3 linked regions of the Saccharomyces cerevisiae S288C genome follow. The protein of the gene in region 2 purifies or fractionates together with the protein of the main gene of each other region. This does not show direct contact. Each region holds a gene or a part of one and is shown on either strand. Other genes may lie near its edges.

Region 1 (4,322 bases), on a different chromosome or scaffold from region 2:
AATCTGACAAGTCGCACTCTCATGGGTTGTTCTTCAATGATTTCAACCTCTTTTTGAAGTGGAGGTCGCACATGAATAGACTACAAAAACAAAGAATCAAGACTAGGAGCACTGCCGTAGAGCCTCTGGCTAGAACTCCAGAAGACCTCATGTTGAATTGGGACGACTTGCATCTGGGCAACGATGCTGAATATGCTTCTGCAGATGGATCCAAGAAAATTGTTGGAAGGGCACAGTCCATTAGTACCACGAAGGATTCCAATGATGCAAAACCCAGCACCGTCAAAACTGAAAAAATCTACTTTGACGATGGCACGGTAGACATTACTACCACCACTACCTCCAAGGGTTCCAGTCCCCAGGTGAAGCATAAAGTGGTGAGTGTTGACGAAGACAATTAGGACATATTTTCGTTTCCTTTTTTTACTCATATCTTACACAATATGCCTTGTATATATCGCACGATTATGACCTTGCGCGTGTGGAAAACATGCGACTGCTAAGGGGAGATCCACACACACACACACAAAAGATCAATACACATTTTTGACAATATATAGCATCAATAAAATACATATAAGCGATTCACATAGTTCAATATGAAGGTTGTTAAGGAATTTAGTGTCTGTGGTGGCAGATTGATCAAGTTGTCACATAACTCGAACTCTACCAAGACCAGCATGAACGTCAATATCTATTTGCCTAAGCACTATTACGCCCAAGATTTTCCAAGAAATAAGCGTATCCCAACTGTGTTTTACCTTTCTGGCTTGACGTGCACGCCAGACAACGCCTCTGAGAAGGCTTTTTGGCAGTTTCAAGCTGACAAGTACGGATTTGCAATAGTCTTTCCGGATACGTCCCCACGTGGTGACGAAGTAGCCAATGATCCTGAGGGCTCCTGGGATTTTGGACAGGGCGCCGGATTCTATCTAAATGCCACCCAAGAACCATACGCCCAACATTACCAGATGTACGACTACATTCACAAAGAACTCCCACAAACATTAGATTCTCATTTTAACAAGAACGGTGACGTAAAGCTGGACTTCTTGGACAATGTTGCCATCACAGGCCATTCGATGGGGGGATATGGTGCAATTTGTGGGTATTTGAAGGGCTATTCCGGAAAGAGATACAAATCTTGTTCTGCCTTCGCCCCTATCGTGAACCCTTCCAACGTTCCCTGGGGTCAAAAAGCGTTTAAAGGTTATCTGGGCGAAGAAAAAGCCCAGTGGGAAGCGTACGACCCATGTTTATTAATCAAGAATATTAGACATGTGGGCGACGACAGAATTTTGATCCATGTAGGAGACTCCGATCCCTTTTTGGAAGAACACTTGAAACCGGAATTACTACTTGAGGCGGTGAAAGCCACTTCATGGCAGGACTACGTGGAAATAAAAAAAGTTCACGGCTTTGATCACTCCTATTACTTTGTCAGCACTTTCGTTCCAGAACATGCTGAATTTCATGCGCGAAACTTGGGTTTGATTTGAGAGGCATCGCATTTCATTATGGTAATTTTTATGACTTTTCTATGTACATATTTAGTGAAATATACGTCCGTAGAAAAAAATGGCCAAACATAGTTATCCTTTCAAAGGTTATTCGCAGTAGATTTTATGTCACCTGTAACTTCCATTACTATTGCTATTATGTGGTTAATTGGCATCACATCCGACGAATTTAATAATATGAAATGAAAAAAACGAAAAATAAAAAAATTTCACCTCATCTCATCGATCACTCTGGTCCTGTTGTGGTATCGTTCTTGAAAGTGTATATCAGCCTACATTAGTGCGACAATGACAATGGCAACAACCGCAATGAATGTTAGCGTACCTCCACCAGATGAAGAAGAACAGTTACTAGCCAAATTTGTATTCGGTGATACAACAGATTTACAAGAAAATCTCGCTAAATTTAATGCCGATTTCATTTTCAATGAACAAGAAATGGATGTTGAAGACCAGGAGGATGAGGGATCTGAATCAGATAACAGTGAAGAAGATGAAGCGCAGAACGGTGAATTAGACCATGTTAACAACGATCAGTTATTTTTTGTGGACGATGGTGGTAACGAAGATAGTCAAGATAAGAATGAAGATACCATGGACGTGGATGACGAAGATGACTCTTCAAGCGATGATTATTCTGAGGACTCTGAAGAAGCTGCTTGGATAGATTCGGATGATGAAAAAATTAAAGTGCCTATTCTTGTTACCAATAAGACAAAGAAATTAAGAACCTCCTATAACGAGTCCAAAATCAACGGTGTTCATTACATCAACAGATTGAGATCTCAGTTTGAAAAGATATATCCAAGGCCCAAATGGGTGGACGATGAATCTGATTCTGAATTAGATGACGAAGAAGACGATGAAGAAGAAGGCTCTAATAATGTTATTAATGGAGATATTAATGCTCTAACGAAGATCCTGTCTACTACTTACAATTATAAAGACACTTTATCGAATTCCAAACTATTACCCCCTAAGAAACTTGACATTGTGCGTCTTAAAGATGCAAATGCATCACACCCGTCTCATTCCGCCATACAATCTCTTTCATTCCATCCTTCTAAGCCTCTACTGTTAACGGGTGGGTATGATAAGACCTTAAGAATATATCATATTGACGGGAAAACGAACCATCTAGTGACAAGTTTGCACCTGGTTGGGTCTCCAATACAAACATGTACTTTCTATACTTCTCTATCAAACCAAAATCAACAAAATATATTCACCGCCGGTAGAAGAAGATATATGCATTCCTGGGACTTATCCTTAGAAAATTTAACTCATTCACAGACTGCCAAAATCGAAAAATTTTCCAGATTGTATGGACATGAGTCCACTCAAAGATCATTTGAGAATTTCAAAGTTGCACATTTGCAGAATTCACAAACAAATTCTGTCCATGGAATTGTCCTTTTACAGGGTAATAATGGTTGGATTAACATTTTACATTCCACTTCCGGACTATGGTTAATGGGCTGCAAGATAGAAGGTGTGATAACGGATTTCTGTATCGATTATCAACCTATTTCACGTGGTAAGTTTAGGACCATTTTAATTGCTGTAAACGCGTATGGTGAAGTGTGGGAATTTGACTTGAATAAGAATGGCCATGTTATAAGAAGATGGAAAGACCAAGGTGGCGTGGGTATAACAAAAATCCAAGTTGGTGGTGGGACAACAACTACTTGTCCGGCTCTTCAAATAAGTAAGATAAAGCAAAATAGGTGGCTTGCGGTAGGTAGTGAGAGTGGATTTGTTAATCTTTACGATAGAAATAATGCTATGACCTCGTCGACCCCTACACCTGTCGCCGCCTTGGACCAGCTAACAACTACCATTTCTAATCTACAATTTTCCCCTGATGGTCAAATACTGTGCATGGCATCCCGTGCAGTCAAGGATGCTTTGAGACTAGTTCATCTGCCTTCTTGTAGCGTGTTCAGCAACTGGCCTACCAGCGGGACGCCTTTGGGTAAAGTTACCAGTGTCGCATTTTCGCCATCTGGTGGGCTACTGGCCGTGGGTAACGAACAAGGTAAAGTGAGGCTCTGGAAATTAAACCACTACTAAATTTCCATTTATAGACAAACTTAGATATTAAAAGCAATGTACAAATACATACACAAAATATCACTGTAAAAAAATTGCGAAGAAACTTGAAATTGAATATGATTCTGCCCACTTTTTTCTTGCTGTCATTTATAGTCAGAAATGAAAAATTGTCCGAGAAATTAAATATAATATATGGAAAAAAAGGGGACATTGAGTTTAAAGAATTTGATTAAAATGTCCTCTCAATATCCTCTGTAAGAGTTATCTAAATCTCACTTTACTTATTCATCTCGCTGGGAATTATGCAGGCGGTAGAGAGAAGGCCCTCGTTACTCTTTGACGAATATCAAAATTCTGTTACTAAGCCTAATGAGACGAAGAATAAAGAAGCCAGGGTCTTGTCAGAGAATGACGGTGATGTCTCCCCATCTGTTTTGAAACAGAAGGAAATATCAGTCGATGATATGGATATGATTTCTTTGCCCACGGAATTTGACAGGCAAATGGTTTTAGGTTCACCTATGTTTTTCGATCTTGAAGACGAAGAAAACAAAATTGATCCACTTCCTTCAGTTTCCCATCATTATGGAAATGGAGAAAGTGACAGCTTTGTCTCATCGTACACGCCCTCAAATCTGAAAACGGGTGAAGAAACTAAAGATCTTTTCATTAATCCGTTTGAATTGGTTTCTCAAATGAGAAAAAGATACATTGCTGCTTCCAAACAAGATGGCATTTCAAACATAA
Region 2 (5,293 bases):
TAGCAGATTTGAGCCATTGGATTAAATTGTCTGCCAGGTCGAAATCATCATCCATTATTAATTTGTCTAATCTTGTTCTTAAATTATTTTTGAACTTTATATTTCTATTCAACAGATAATGTCTTAAAGAATTAAGTTCAAGTGCCCAGTCGTTTACATTTACGTCAAAAATAGGAACGTAACGTAAAGGAAACTCGTAATAATTTTCCCATCGTTGGATATCTTTTAGATAATTAATGTTGTTAAAATGTAAGAAAAAATGATAACGAACCTGGAAAATATAAAACTCTTTGAGCGTGGAAAAAAGTTGTAGTTGTAACTCTTTGTTTGTATTTCCCTCATTAACTATTGAATTGTTTGCCTGACTAGTGTTTATCATGCTATATGGCGATGTGGTTGCGTTATTAGGGAAGAGAACCTTAATGATATTCTTAATACGAAGGCTTGGAGGACGTAGTTGATGGTTACTCTTGGCATCATTAGGGCTCATCCATGTAAGTAAAGAGTTCAAATCATCGACTATGTTTGTGTGAAAGATGTATGAGGAAAGTGTTTGTAACTCATCTGTAATAACTTTCAAATCTCGAGTTGGGGTAATCTGAAATGACATGATGGAAAAACCTTAACTATAAGCCATAAATATTTACAGTCCCGCTAAGTCTGGCTTTCGTCTAGTTTTCGATATTTTGGCTCTTTTGTCTATTACTGTTTTTGTAACCAAAGGTTTGAAAATTTAGATGCAACTAATGAACTTACGCAGTAACATGCAAGTACCCAATAAAAAAAGAAATTTTTGAAGAGACGTTCTTGCATTCAGGACATGGTATGTTTTTAATTTCGTTTCTTTAGTTCTCAGGCTCTTCAAAGTACTAACACTTTATTGGCAAGGGGCGCTCAAATGTGATGCATCATTATAGAGTAATAATAAAATAAAAAGAAAGGATGCAAGCCCGGAACAAGAGGCAATTGAATCATTCACCTCATTAACCAAATGTGACCCCAAGGTATCCAGGAAGTACCTGCAGCGTAATCACTGGAACATCAATTACGCTCTCAATGATTATTATGACAAGGAAATAGGGACGTTTACTGACGAGGTTTCAACTGTGGCTCATCCACCCGTATACCCGAAGGAGCTAACACAGGTATTTGAACACTATATCAATAACAACTTGTTTGATATAGACTCACTGGTCAAGTTCATTGAGGAGCTAGGCTACAATCTTGAAGATTTAGCGACATTATGCTTAGCCCATTTACTGGGGTACAAGAAACTAGAAGAACCCTTAAAACGAGAGGACTTCCTGTCAACATGGTTTATGCAAGGCTGTTCCACCATTTCAGACATGCAAGAGTGCATCAAGACGTTAGATGTTAAATTACATGAAGACTTACAATATTTCACACAGATTTATAACTATGCTTTCAATTTGATTCTGGACCCAAATCGAAAGGATATAGATACAGACGAAGGCATCCAGTATTGGAAGCTATTTTTCCAACCAGAGTACCCAGTGCGTATGGAACCAGATTTGCTTGAGGCATGGTTCCGTTTCCTTCGCGATGAGGGGAAAACCACTATAAGTAAAGACACCTGGCGTATGCTGCTCCTCTTTTTCAAACGATACCCCACTATTCAGAAAATAATAAGCGATTACGACGAAACTGCAGCCTGGCCATTTATTATCGATGAGTTCTATGAGTGCTTACAGGATCAGCAATAAACATCCTTTCATATACTTAAGGGTATGCTGTTTAATATTGCATGGAATACGTTACCCTTCTAAGATAGATGGGAATAAGGCGGAAATAAAAAACGCGATGAGCAGTGGAAAATTTTTCAGAAATTTTCAGTTCCCTCATAATATAGATGTAGATATTGTATAAGGTCGTACGTATATCAGAGTAGCCACTAGAAGGACCAGAGAAACTGGAATAAGAGCTATTATGGTCAAATCATACCAACGTTTTGAGCAAGCAGCTGCTTTTGGTGTAATAGCCTCCAATGCCAATTGTGTTTGGATACCTGCGTCATCCGGAAATAGTAATGGTAGTGGACCAGGACAATTGATTACGAGTGCTCTCGAGGACGTTAATATATGGGATATTAAGACCGGGGATTTGGTCAGTAAATTATCCGATGGCTTACCTCCAGGCGCATCTGATGCTAGAGGCGCCAAGCCAGCCGAGTGTACATATTTGGAGGCTCATAAAGATACGGATTTATTAGCTGTCGGTTACGCAGATGGTGTCATTAAAGTTTGGGATTTGATGTCTAAGACTGTGCTTTTGAATTTTAACGGTCACAAAGCAGCTATAACATTATTACAATTTGATGGGACTGGCACAAGATTAATTTCTGGTTCCAAGGACTCCAATATCATTGTATGGGATCTTGTTGGAGAAGTTGGTCTTTATAAACTTAGATCACACAAGGATTCCATTACTGGCTTTTGGTGTCAAGGAGAAGATTGGCTGATCAGCACCTCCAAAGATGGAATGATCAAGCTATGGGACCTAAAAACACATCAATGTATAGAGACACATATTGCGCATACTGGAGAGTGTTGGGGCCTTGCAGTGAAGGATGATTTACTGATCACAACTGGTACTGATAGTCAAGTAAAAATTTGGAAACTGGATATAGAAAATGACAAAATGGGGGGGAAACTAACAGAGATGGGTATTTTCGAAAAGCAAAGTAAGCAACGTGGGTTAAAGATTGAGTTCATAACAAATTCGTCTGACAAAACCTCTTTTTTTTACATCCAAAATGCTGATAAAACCATCGAGACTTTCAGAATTAGAAAAGAAGAAGAAATAGCAAGAGGTTTAAAGAAAAGAGAGAAGAGGCTAAAAGAAAAGGGGTTGACAGAAGAAGAAATTGCAAAATCTATTAAAGAATCCTACTCCTCCTTTATATTGCATCCTTTTCAAACCATAAGATCATTGTATAAAATAAAATCTGCATCATGGACAACGGTCTCAAGTTCCAAACTTGAGTTGGTATTAACTACATCGAGTAATACCATAGAGTATTATTCCATTCCATATGAAAAAAGAGACCCAACAAGCCCTGCTCCTCTCAAGACACATACTATTGAATTGCAAGGGCAAAGAACGGATGTGCGTAGTATTGACATCAGTGATGATAACAAATTACTTGCCACAGCATCCAATGGTTCATTGAAAATATGGAATATCAAAACACATAAATGTATCAGAACTTTCGAATGTGGGTATGCATTAACTTGTAAGTTTTTGCCAGGTGGGCTACTAGTCATACTGGGTACAAGAAACGGGGAGTTACAGCTCTTTGATCTAGCATCATCAAGTCTTTTGGATACCATTGAAGATGCACATGATGCGGCAATTTGGTCGCTAGATCTGACCTCAGATGGTAAACGATTAGTGACCGGATCTGCCGATAAAACTGTCAAGTTTTGGGATTTCAAAGTTGAAAATAGCCTAGTGCCAGGTACCAAGAACAAATTCCTGCCTGTTTTAAAACTGCACCATGATACAACTTTGGAATTAACTGACGACATTTTATGTGTACGGGTTTCTCCTGACGATAGATATCTAGCCATCTCGTTGCTGGATAATACTGTTAAGGTATTCTTTTTGGACTCAATGAAGTTTTACCTAAGTTTATATGGGCACAAATTACCTGTACTATCTATCGATATTTCATTTGATTCTAAGATGATTATTACGTCTTCCGCAGACAAAAATATCAAGATTTGGGGTTTAGATTTTGGTGACTGTCACAAGTCTTTATTTGCCCATCAGGATTCGATTATGAACGTTAAATTCTTACCACAGTCTCACAACTTCTTTAGTTGTTCTAAAGACGCAGTGGTGAAATATTGGGATGGCGAGAAATTTGAATGCATTCAAAAACTATACGCTCATCAGAGCGAAGTTTGGGCTTTGGCGGTTGCTACTGATGGCGGCTTTGTTGTTTCTTCATCCCATGATCACAGTATAAGAATCTGGGAAGAAACCGAGGACCAGGTATTTTTAGAAGAGGAAAAGGAGAAAGAACTTGAAGAACAGTACGAGGATACATTGCTAACTTCTTTGGAAGAAGGAAACGGTGATGATGCATTTAAAGCTGATGCATCGGGTGAAGGCGTTGAAGATGAAGCATCCGGTGTTCATAAACAGACTTTAGAATCGTTAAAGGCTGGTGAAAGACTTATGGAGGCGCTAGATTTAGGAATTGCTGAGATTGAAGGTTTAGAGGCATATAACAGAGATATGAAGCTATGGCAAAGAAAGAAGTTGGGTGAAGCGCCAATAAAACCACAGGGTAACGCTGTTCTAATTGCTGTGAATAAAACTCCTGAGCAATATATTATGGATACCCTGTTAAGAATAAGAATGTCTCAGTTAGAAGATGCACTGATGGTTATGCCATTCTCATATGTCCTCAAATTTTTAAAATTTATTGATACCGTTATGCAAAACAAAACTTTGCTGCACTCTCACTTACCATTAATTTGCAAGAATTTATTTTTCATTATCAAATTTAATCATAAAGAATTGGTTTCTCAGAAAAATGAAGAATTGAAATTGCAAATAAATAGAGTAAAGACTGAATTAAGAAGTGCATTAAAATCTACCGAGGATGATCTAGGCTTTAATGTTCAAGGGTTGAAATTCGTCAAGCAACAATGGAATCTAAGGCATAACTACGAATTCGTTGACGAATATGACCAACAGGAGAAAGAGAGTAATAGTGCAAGGAAGAGAGTTTTCGGGACCGTTATATAATAAAACTATTATCCTACATAATACCGGCATTACTCTGCCCTTTTCACACTTCAAAAGGATAGATTAAATTATCTGTATATTATACAATTCCAATCATAAAAATTGTCATTCCGATTGCCCTTCGGTAATAATGGGCATATCCAAATAACGGAATATGTGTTTTTTATACTTATTGGTCGCTGACATATGCTGTTTTTTGCGAGATGTCTCTCGTCTCTGCAGAGCAGTTGTAAAATTATAGGTCATGCATTTTTTTTTTTTTGATAATGAATAACTATCTAATCTAACAAAATATACGTGAGATACTATGCCCATTTCCCTAGAAGAGCCATTAAAGCAGCTCCACAACACATGATGAGATATGCACTAAGCATTTTTTTGAGGCCATCAGGTCCTTTGAATTGATTAGAGTATAAGAATTCATGAGCCATTAATTCGACTAGTCCAGTATAAATAAGAATTCCTGATGATATCGAGTCAAAAACACCATTAGCAATTAATGCTCTTCTAGAGC
Region 3 (5,903 bases), on a different chromosome or scaffold from region 2:
CTGTGGAACAAACATGGTAAACTACTTTTCTTGGGTTTGGATAATGCCGGTAAGACCACATTGCTACATATGTTAAAGAACGATAGATTGGCAACCTTACAACCAACATGGCATCCAACTTCTGAAGAACTGGCTATTGGTAACATTAAGTTTACAACTTTCGATTTGGGTGGTCATATTCAAGCTCGTCGTTTATGGAAGGATTATTTCCCAGAAGTTAATGGTATCGTCTTTTTAGTCGATGCTGCTGACCCTGAAAGATTTGATGAAGCACGTGTCGAATTAGATGCTTTATTCAACATTGCCGAATTGAAGGACGTTCCTTTTGTAATTCTTGGTAACAAGATCGATGCTCCAAACGCCGTTTCTGAAGCGGAGCTACGTTCTGCTTTAGGATTATTGAATACCACTGGCTCTCAAAGAATTGAAGGTCAAAGACCAGTTGAAGTTTTCATGTGTTCCGTTGTTATGAGAAATGGTTATTTAGAGGCGTTCCAATGGTTATCTCAATATATTTAATTGACGTATACATCTATACCCTTTATATGACATTCACATGAATTCAACAGCTTTGTAATAATCAACAAAATTGCATAGGATGCCACCTCATAACTTTTGAGCACAGCATTTCCGCGATCATAGTATATTTTAGACTCTAAGATTGAATAAAAGTATGATACATCTTAAGTATACATATATATATGTATATATATATATATACATGAAAGTTTACCTCCTCATCTTACGTGGACGAGATTCATCGTCACCGCCCATAGTTGTTCTTTTACCATTCTGGGCGAAGTATTCTTTCTTTTTCTCCTTATCCCTTTGTGATTTTTCTTCCTCCATCTTAGCTAATTTTTTCAATCTTTCCTTACGTTGACTAGCCTTCTGTTCCTTCCTCTTGCTGTCTTTGGCTTTCGAAATCGTCAATACTTTTTGAATGAATGATCTTGCCTTCTTTTCATCACCACCTAGCACCACGGCTCTTTTAGCCATATATGTTTTCTTCTTTTGTGGTTTCATTTGATGGATCTGAGATTTGAATGGCAATTCCTTTTGAACAGCTTTTGGGACCTTTAGACCATTGAAGTGTCTTTCTACACGTTCTATTTTATGATATGCACTGTCCGGATTCGACGGTGTTTCCAGGTTCATAGCCGCTCTTATTTGGCCTGTCAATCTTAAACCTTTCCACTCGGTTTTTTCCTTCAACAATAGTGAGGTAACAGGATTATAGAATTTCTTGACGCGGACAGGATACCATGATCTTAGAATTACAATATCACTCATTAGGATTTTATCCTCAAAGGCTGCCCTATAGTGACCCTCAGGCTTTGAAAGTGCCCTTTTGATTTCACCACGGATACCCGAGACAGTTTTGATCTGCGCACCCTCAAACCTTGCAACTTCCATAGCACTTGAAAACATGTCCTTTATAAAGGCAGTATTTTTGAAAATTTTATATGGAAACCCAACTAATTTTAACTTTTTAACAATTTCAATATTAACGTCTATCTCTTCAACGATACCTGTTGCTGCAATTCTAAAACCGTTCCCGGTATCACTATTAGCAACAATTTGAACACCACAAAAAGGTGTGTTTGGAGAACATAAGGGACCGTAGAAAGCCGCATTACAATATGTGTGTTCTGGTGTATACTTTAGCATTCTGGTTCTTGTTCTAGAGTCAGTTGTTGTATAAATTGGTAAAGTTTGGAACCTTCTCCAACCCAAAGACAAGACCAGTGGGTCATTTGTCTTCAAAATCTTCTTATGCCAACGATGTCTTCTCAACCTGGCTTTGACAATACCGAACTTTATTTCGGTCGGCAATAAACCACCCATAACAATTGGAAATTTTGGATTGAAATTCTTGACAAATTCCATTGGGACTTTTTCGAAAACGATACGTACATAAGAACCAGCTTTGAAACCTTCGATTCTTTGACGTTGTTCTGGAGTCATTTCTTGATATTCTATATTGTTAATTTCTAACTGTTTAGATATCTTGGCCTTCTGTAGTTCATACCATGTATCATATTCATTGTTTTCATCATCTTCTTTAAAGTTTTCACCTTCTTCTATCTCGAATTGTGCACGTAGTTTTTCCTTCTTTGCAGCATTCATTTCTCTTTCTTGCTCCATGGTTAAGTCCTTTTTTTCCTCCGCATCAAAATTAGTGAATGAATTATCATCATCTCCATTAGTGTCTTCGTTTTCATCCTCATCCTCACTTTCTTTGTCACTATTGTCTTCTGCTTGTTCAGAAGGGTTTCCATCTTCTAGATCTTCAAAATCGCCGTATAGTTCTTCCCCACCTTCATTAGAGTCACTTTTCGTTTTATTATCATTACCTAAAATGCCTGCGCCGAGGAATCGCTCTTTGATTGCATCAACGCTTTTCCATTTTTTAGCCAATTTTTCGAAAGTGTCGAAATATGGAACAAACTTTTCCAAATCAACTGCATGGTCTTTATTGCCCTCTTTTGTAACAGTACCATCTTTTTTCCTGAAGAAGTCATCATCAACATCTTCTTCAATGTCACTTTCGTCTTTACTATCGTCGTCCTCGCCCCTCCACCTTCTTATACATTCTTCAGGTGAAATGTTGTCCATGTATATCAGCTTACCGATATTCCAGGTCCTTTTCTTACTTTCAGTTTTCTTCAGCTTGTTTGCCGCTGTTCTTTCCCAGGAAAACTCATCTTCACTCTCTTCAAATTCAGAATCTGTTTCCAAAGCTAATTTTTCGGCACCCTGCTCACCGGTATTATTGAAATCGATTTCAACCATCCTTGGTTCGGAGTCCTGCACGTCGTCATCATTTGTATAAGGTTCTTCATCACTCGGTAAATTATCAATATCTGCGTCTTCTTCTTGAACTGGCTTACCATAAATTCTTGGTTTTCTTAAACTGGTTCTTCCCTTGCTCTTTCCTTCATCGTCCTCAATACTTTCTTCTCCACTTTCAACATCCATGCCTTCATGATCGGCAACTTCATGAAGCTCAGTGCCGTTGCTAAACAATTGCAAACCCACACCATCAAATTTCTCTGCAATACTTTGTTCAACACTTTGTAAACCCGTCATGAGTTTTTCTCCTTCACCTCTTTCTTGGCCGGGAACAAAACTTGGCTCTTCATTTTTCTTTCCAATATCAATATAAACAGCATCCTTATCCATCAACACACCTCCGACATCGGACATTGGAGCATATATCAATTTATCTTTATCATCTAACCTTTTACGTCTTCTTGTCGTAGAGGCAGTTGTAATTTCTCCGTTAGCCTTTGCCTCTTCTTTCATTTTTTCACGTTCAAAATCATCCAGTTTCTGTTGGTAAAAAGGTGTGGGACATGGATCTGGTAATTTTTCAATTTGTGCTACTGAGAAATCACCAACACCAGCAATATGCACCCTAGTGCCCGGAGCAGAAGGCAAAGGAGTACCGTGCAAATAACCATAGATAGCGACTTTGCGGTCGATTTGCAGTCCTTGAGTCTCTATTAATTCCGGATGAGTTAAATCTGTGAATCTGTCAGCCAACATATAGGGATGTTCGTTCCTCCATTTTAATGGTCTGAATTTCATAACAGATATAAATCGTGAAAGGTTTAAAATCTCTCTATCAGGATACCTTCCATTAATCACACCAGATAGGTAAAATAATTTTGCACCTTGATAAACTTCCGTCCAGAATCTGTGCTTTAATCTTTTCTTAGAAGCTCTCAAAGTTGACTGAGATTTAAACAGATCAAGATGTGTAGCTACACCAAGTACTCTTGGCATACCGTGATGTTGAGCAATATTTAAGAATTCCATTGTTTCCATTTCAAAACCGAAATTACCGTCAATTAGTAAAAGAACCAAGTCGGCAATCTTAGCAATATCAATCATCGCATTCAGATCGTCCGCAGGGCACTCCAAAAAAGTTAGTCTTCTATGTTTACCAGAGACAACAGTAATAGGACCTTGAATATCATTCAAAGTGCTTTTTGTCATTCTCCTGACGAGGGACCGAATCAAAGTAGTCTTTCCTGTTCCAGGTGGACCCACGACAGCGACGATAAATGGAGGCGGATCATCTTCAGGGGTACGATCAACCATAGGAACATGCAGTTTTCTTTCGTTCACATCACTTGACCTTTGCATAGTTCTCGCCATCTTACCTGGGGCTGCCACGGCAAAGGCCTTTGCATTATGACCCTGCGTATGGAGCTTCTTTTTTGCTGTATTCTTCTCCTTCGCCTTACGGTGCTGTTTATTAGACTGCTCCATCGTTTCAGATAACTCAGATGGCTGATTAAAGGCTACTATTATGTGATATTTTTACCTTAACAGCGCAAATACTTTCCTTAATTTTGAAGCTTCACTTCAGCTCATCGCCTTGAAAATTTTTCATTTGTACGGACATTAAACTTAGGCGATAACAAAAAAAAAACTTCATCTAGATAATCTCAACTTTGAAATTACAGAAATATTTACAACAGTAGTACGAGTATCTGCACTATGGCTCACATGTCCTTAAAATAATCTAAGCTTACCTATCTGATATTTGTTTTGATATTGTTTAGGACCAGCAGTTTCTGAGAGTTTAGCAAATGCACCTTTACAGCTATCCTCAACTTTTGGAAGAGAAAGTGACAAGATATGTAACAATACTTGCATGAATCGACATTTGTTTACTTTGGTCCATTTTGTATATGATAGTGTGATTTAGCGATATGGAATTATGTGTATTTTTCTATTTGTTGTCATTTCAATATGGGATGACTTGTTTTCTTGTAACGCGCCACTTCAATAGTAAACATTATGAACCTGATAAATGTTAGCAGACTTAGTAAGAGAGACAATCATTTTCATTCAGTAAAAATCGCAATCCCTAGTTTGGCTCTTCTTCTAGCCGTACTTTAAATTCAAAGCAAAAATGGTTCTGCTTAACAGAAGGAAAATACAACCTAAGGAAATAGGACAGTCTGCTGATTCCTTCTCTGAAACTCCATGGGTGATTAAAGAAAGTAGCGAGCGTATAAATGATTATGACAGTGATTTAAAAAAGCTAGATTTTTACAAAAGGGATATATTCACCTGTGAGATTAGTGGAAAAGATGGCCTTTCGTATTTCAAGGCGTTAAAAAGCGAAGAACAGCACCGTGAAAAGGTCAGATATCTTTTACCAAAAGAACTAAGGAAGGCTATAGCAAATTTCGCAAACTTCAGTCCGATAAGGAAGGTAGGACACCTTGTAGAAAGCGCATTTCAGCGTTTTAGTAACCGTTTCTTTATAGGCGATACGGTGTGCTTGAAAACTATCCAAAAAAATGCATTGATTACCTATAAAGAAGGAGAGCCTAACTTGGTAGAATCACCAACTATTGAAAACAATGTCACGTTGTTCCTTGTCAAGGATGTGTTTCAATCTAACGGGATGATGGAAAGTGAAAAGGGAGAAATTTCTGCCCCAAAATTGTCACTGTATTTAATCACAGAATGCCTGAATCGAGAATCTAAAGGTGCGGCCCTAATTGTAGGCCAGAATGAAATTAAAAGGCCAGAATCACACTTTTCTAAATTCATAATTGCGTGTTTTCTTAATGAAATACTCATAAAAGTATCGAATAAGGAGCACGCACCATGGAGGGTGAAACAAGAATATATAGAAAGATATGATGTAAACCCTAAATGCTCTCCTAATATGATTGATTATTTGCCGGATAGAATGAACTCATCTTCTTCCGAGCTTTACACTCCTCTTACTATACCACCAGAGAGCGATGTTGAACCTGCTGACTGGAAGGAAACGTCGGAAACGTCGGAAACGTCGGAAACGTCACTATCTAAAATAAAAGCAATTGACGACGAGATTTCAGTCTCATTTGACCACATTTACGATAATGTGA

Evidence for each region.
Region 1: the proteins of DIP2 (region 2) and UTP18 purify together in Saccharomyces cerevisiae (affinity purification with mass spectrometry; 8 studies listed by BioGRID). This does not show direct contact.
Region 3: the proteins of DIP2 (region 2) and BMS1 purify together in Saccharomyces cerevisiae (affinity purification with mass spectrometry; 2 studies listed by BioGRID). This does not show direct contact.

What each region holds. Positions count from the first base shown.
Region 1 is NC_001142.9:310,193-314,514, reverse strand, and holds UTP18 (Utp18p), read left to right. Parts: upstream 1-1,808; coding exon 1,809-3,593; downstream 3,594-4,322. Other genes in the region: MPM1 (Mpm1p), read left to right, coding at 1-401; YJL068C (S-formylglutathione hydrolase), read left to right, coding at 600-1,499; YJL070C (metallo-dependent hydrolase superfamily protein), read left to right, coding at 3,878-4,322. UniProt on the Saccharomyces cerevisiae protein: Involved in nucleolar processing of pre-18S ribosomal RNA and ribosome assembly.
Region 2 is NC_001144.5:397,710-403,002, forward strand, and holds DIP2 (snoRNA-binding rRNA-processing protein DIP2), read left to right. Parts: upstream 1-1,947; coding exon 1,948-4,779; downstream 4,780-5,293. Other genes in the region: APC2 (anaphase promoting complex subunit 2), read right to left, coding at 1-610; NEDD8 ligase DCN1, read left to right, coding at 821-823, 918-1,724; low-affinity Zn(2+) transporter ZRT2, read right to left, coding at 5,085-5,293. UniProt on the Saccharomyces cerevisiae protein: Involved in nucleolar processing of pre-18S ribosomal RNA.
Region 3 is NC_001148.4:138,891-144,793, forward strand, and holds BMS1 (GTPase BMS1), read right to left. Parts: upstream 4,282-5,903; coding exon 730-4,281; downstream 1-729. Other genes in the region: Arf family GTPase SAR1, read left to right, coding at 1-519; YPL216W (uncharacterized protein), read left to right, coding at 4,931-5,903. UniProt on the Saccharomyces cerevisiae protein: GTPase required for synthesis of 40S ribosomal subunits and for processing the 35S pre-rRNA at sites A0, A1, and A2.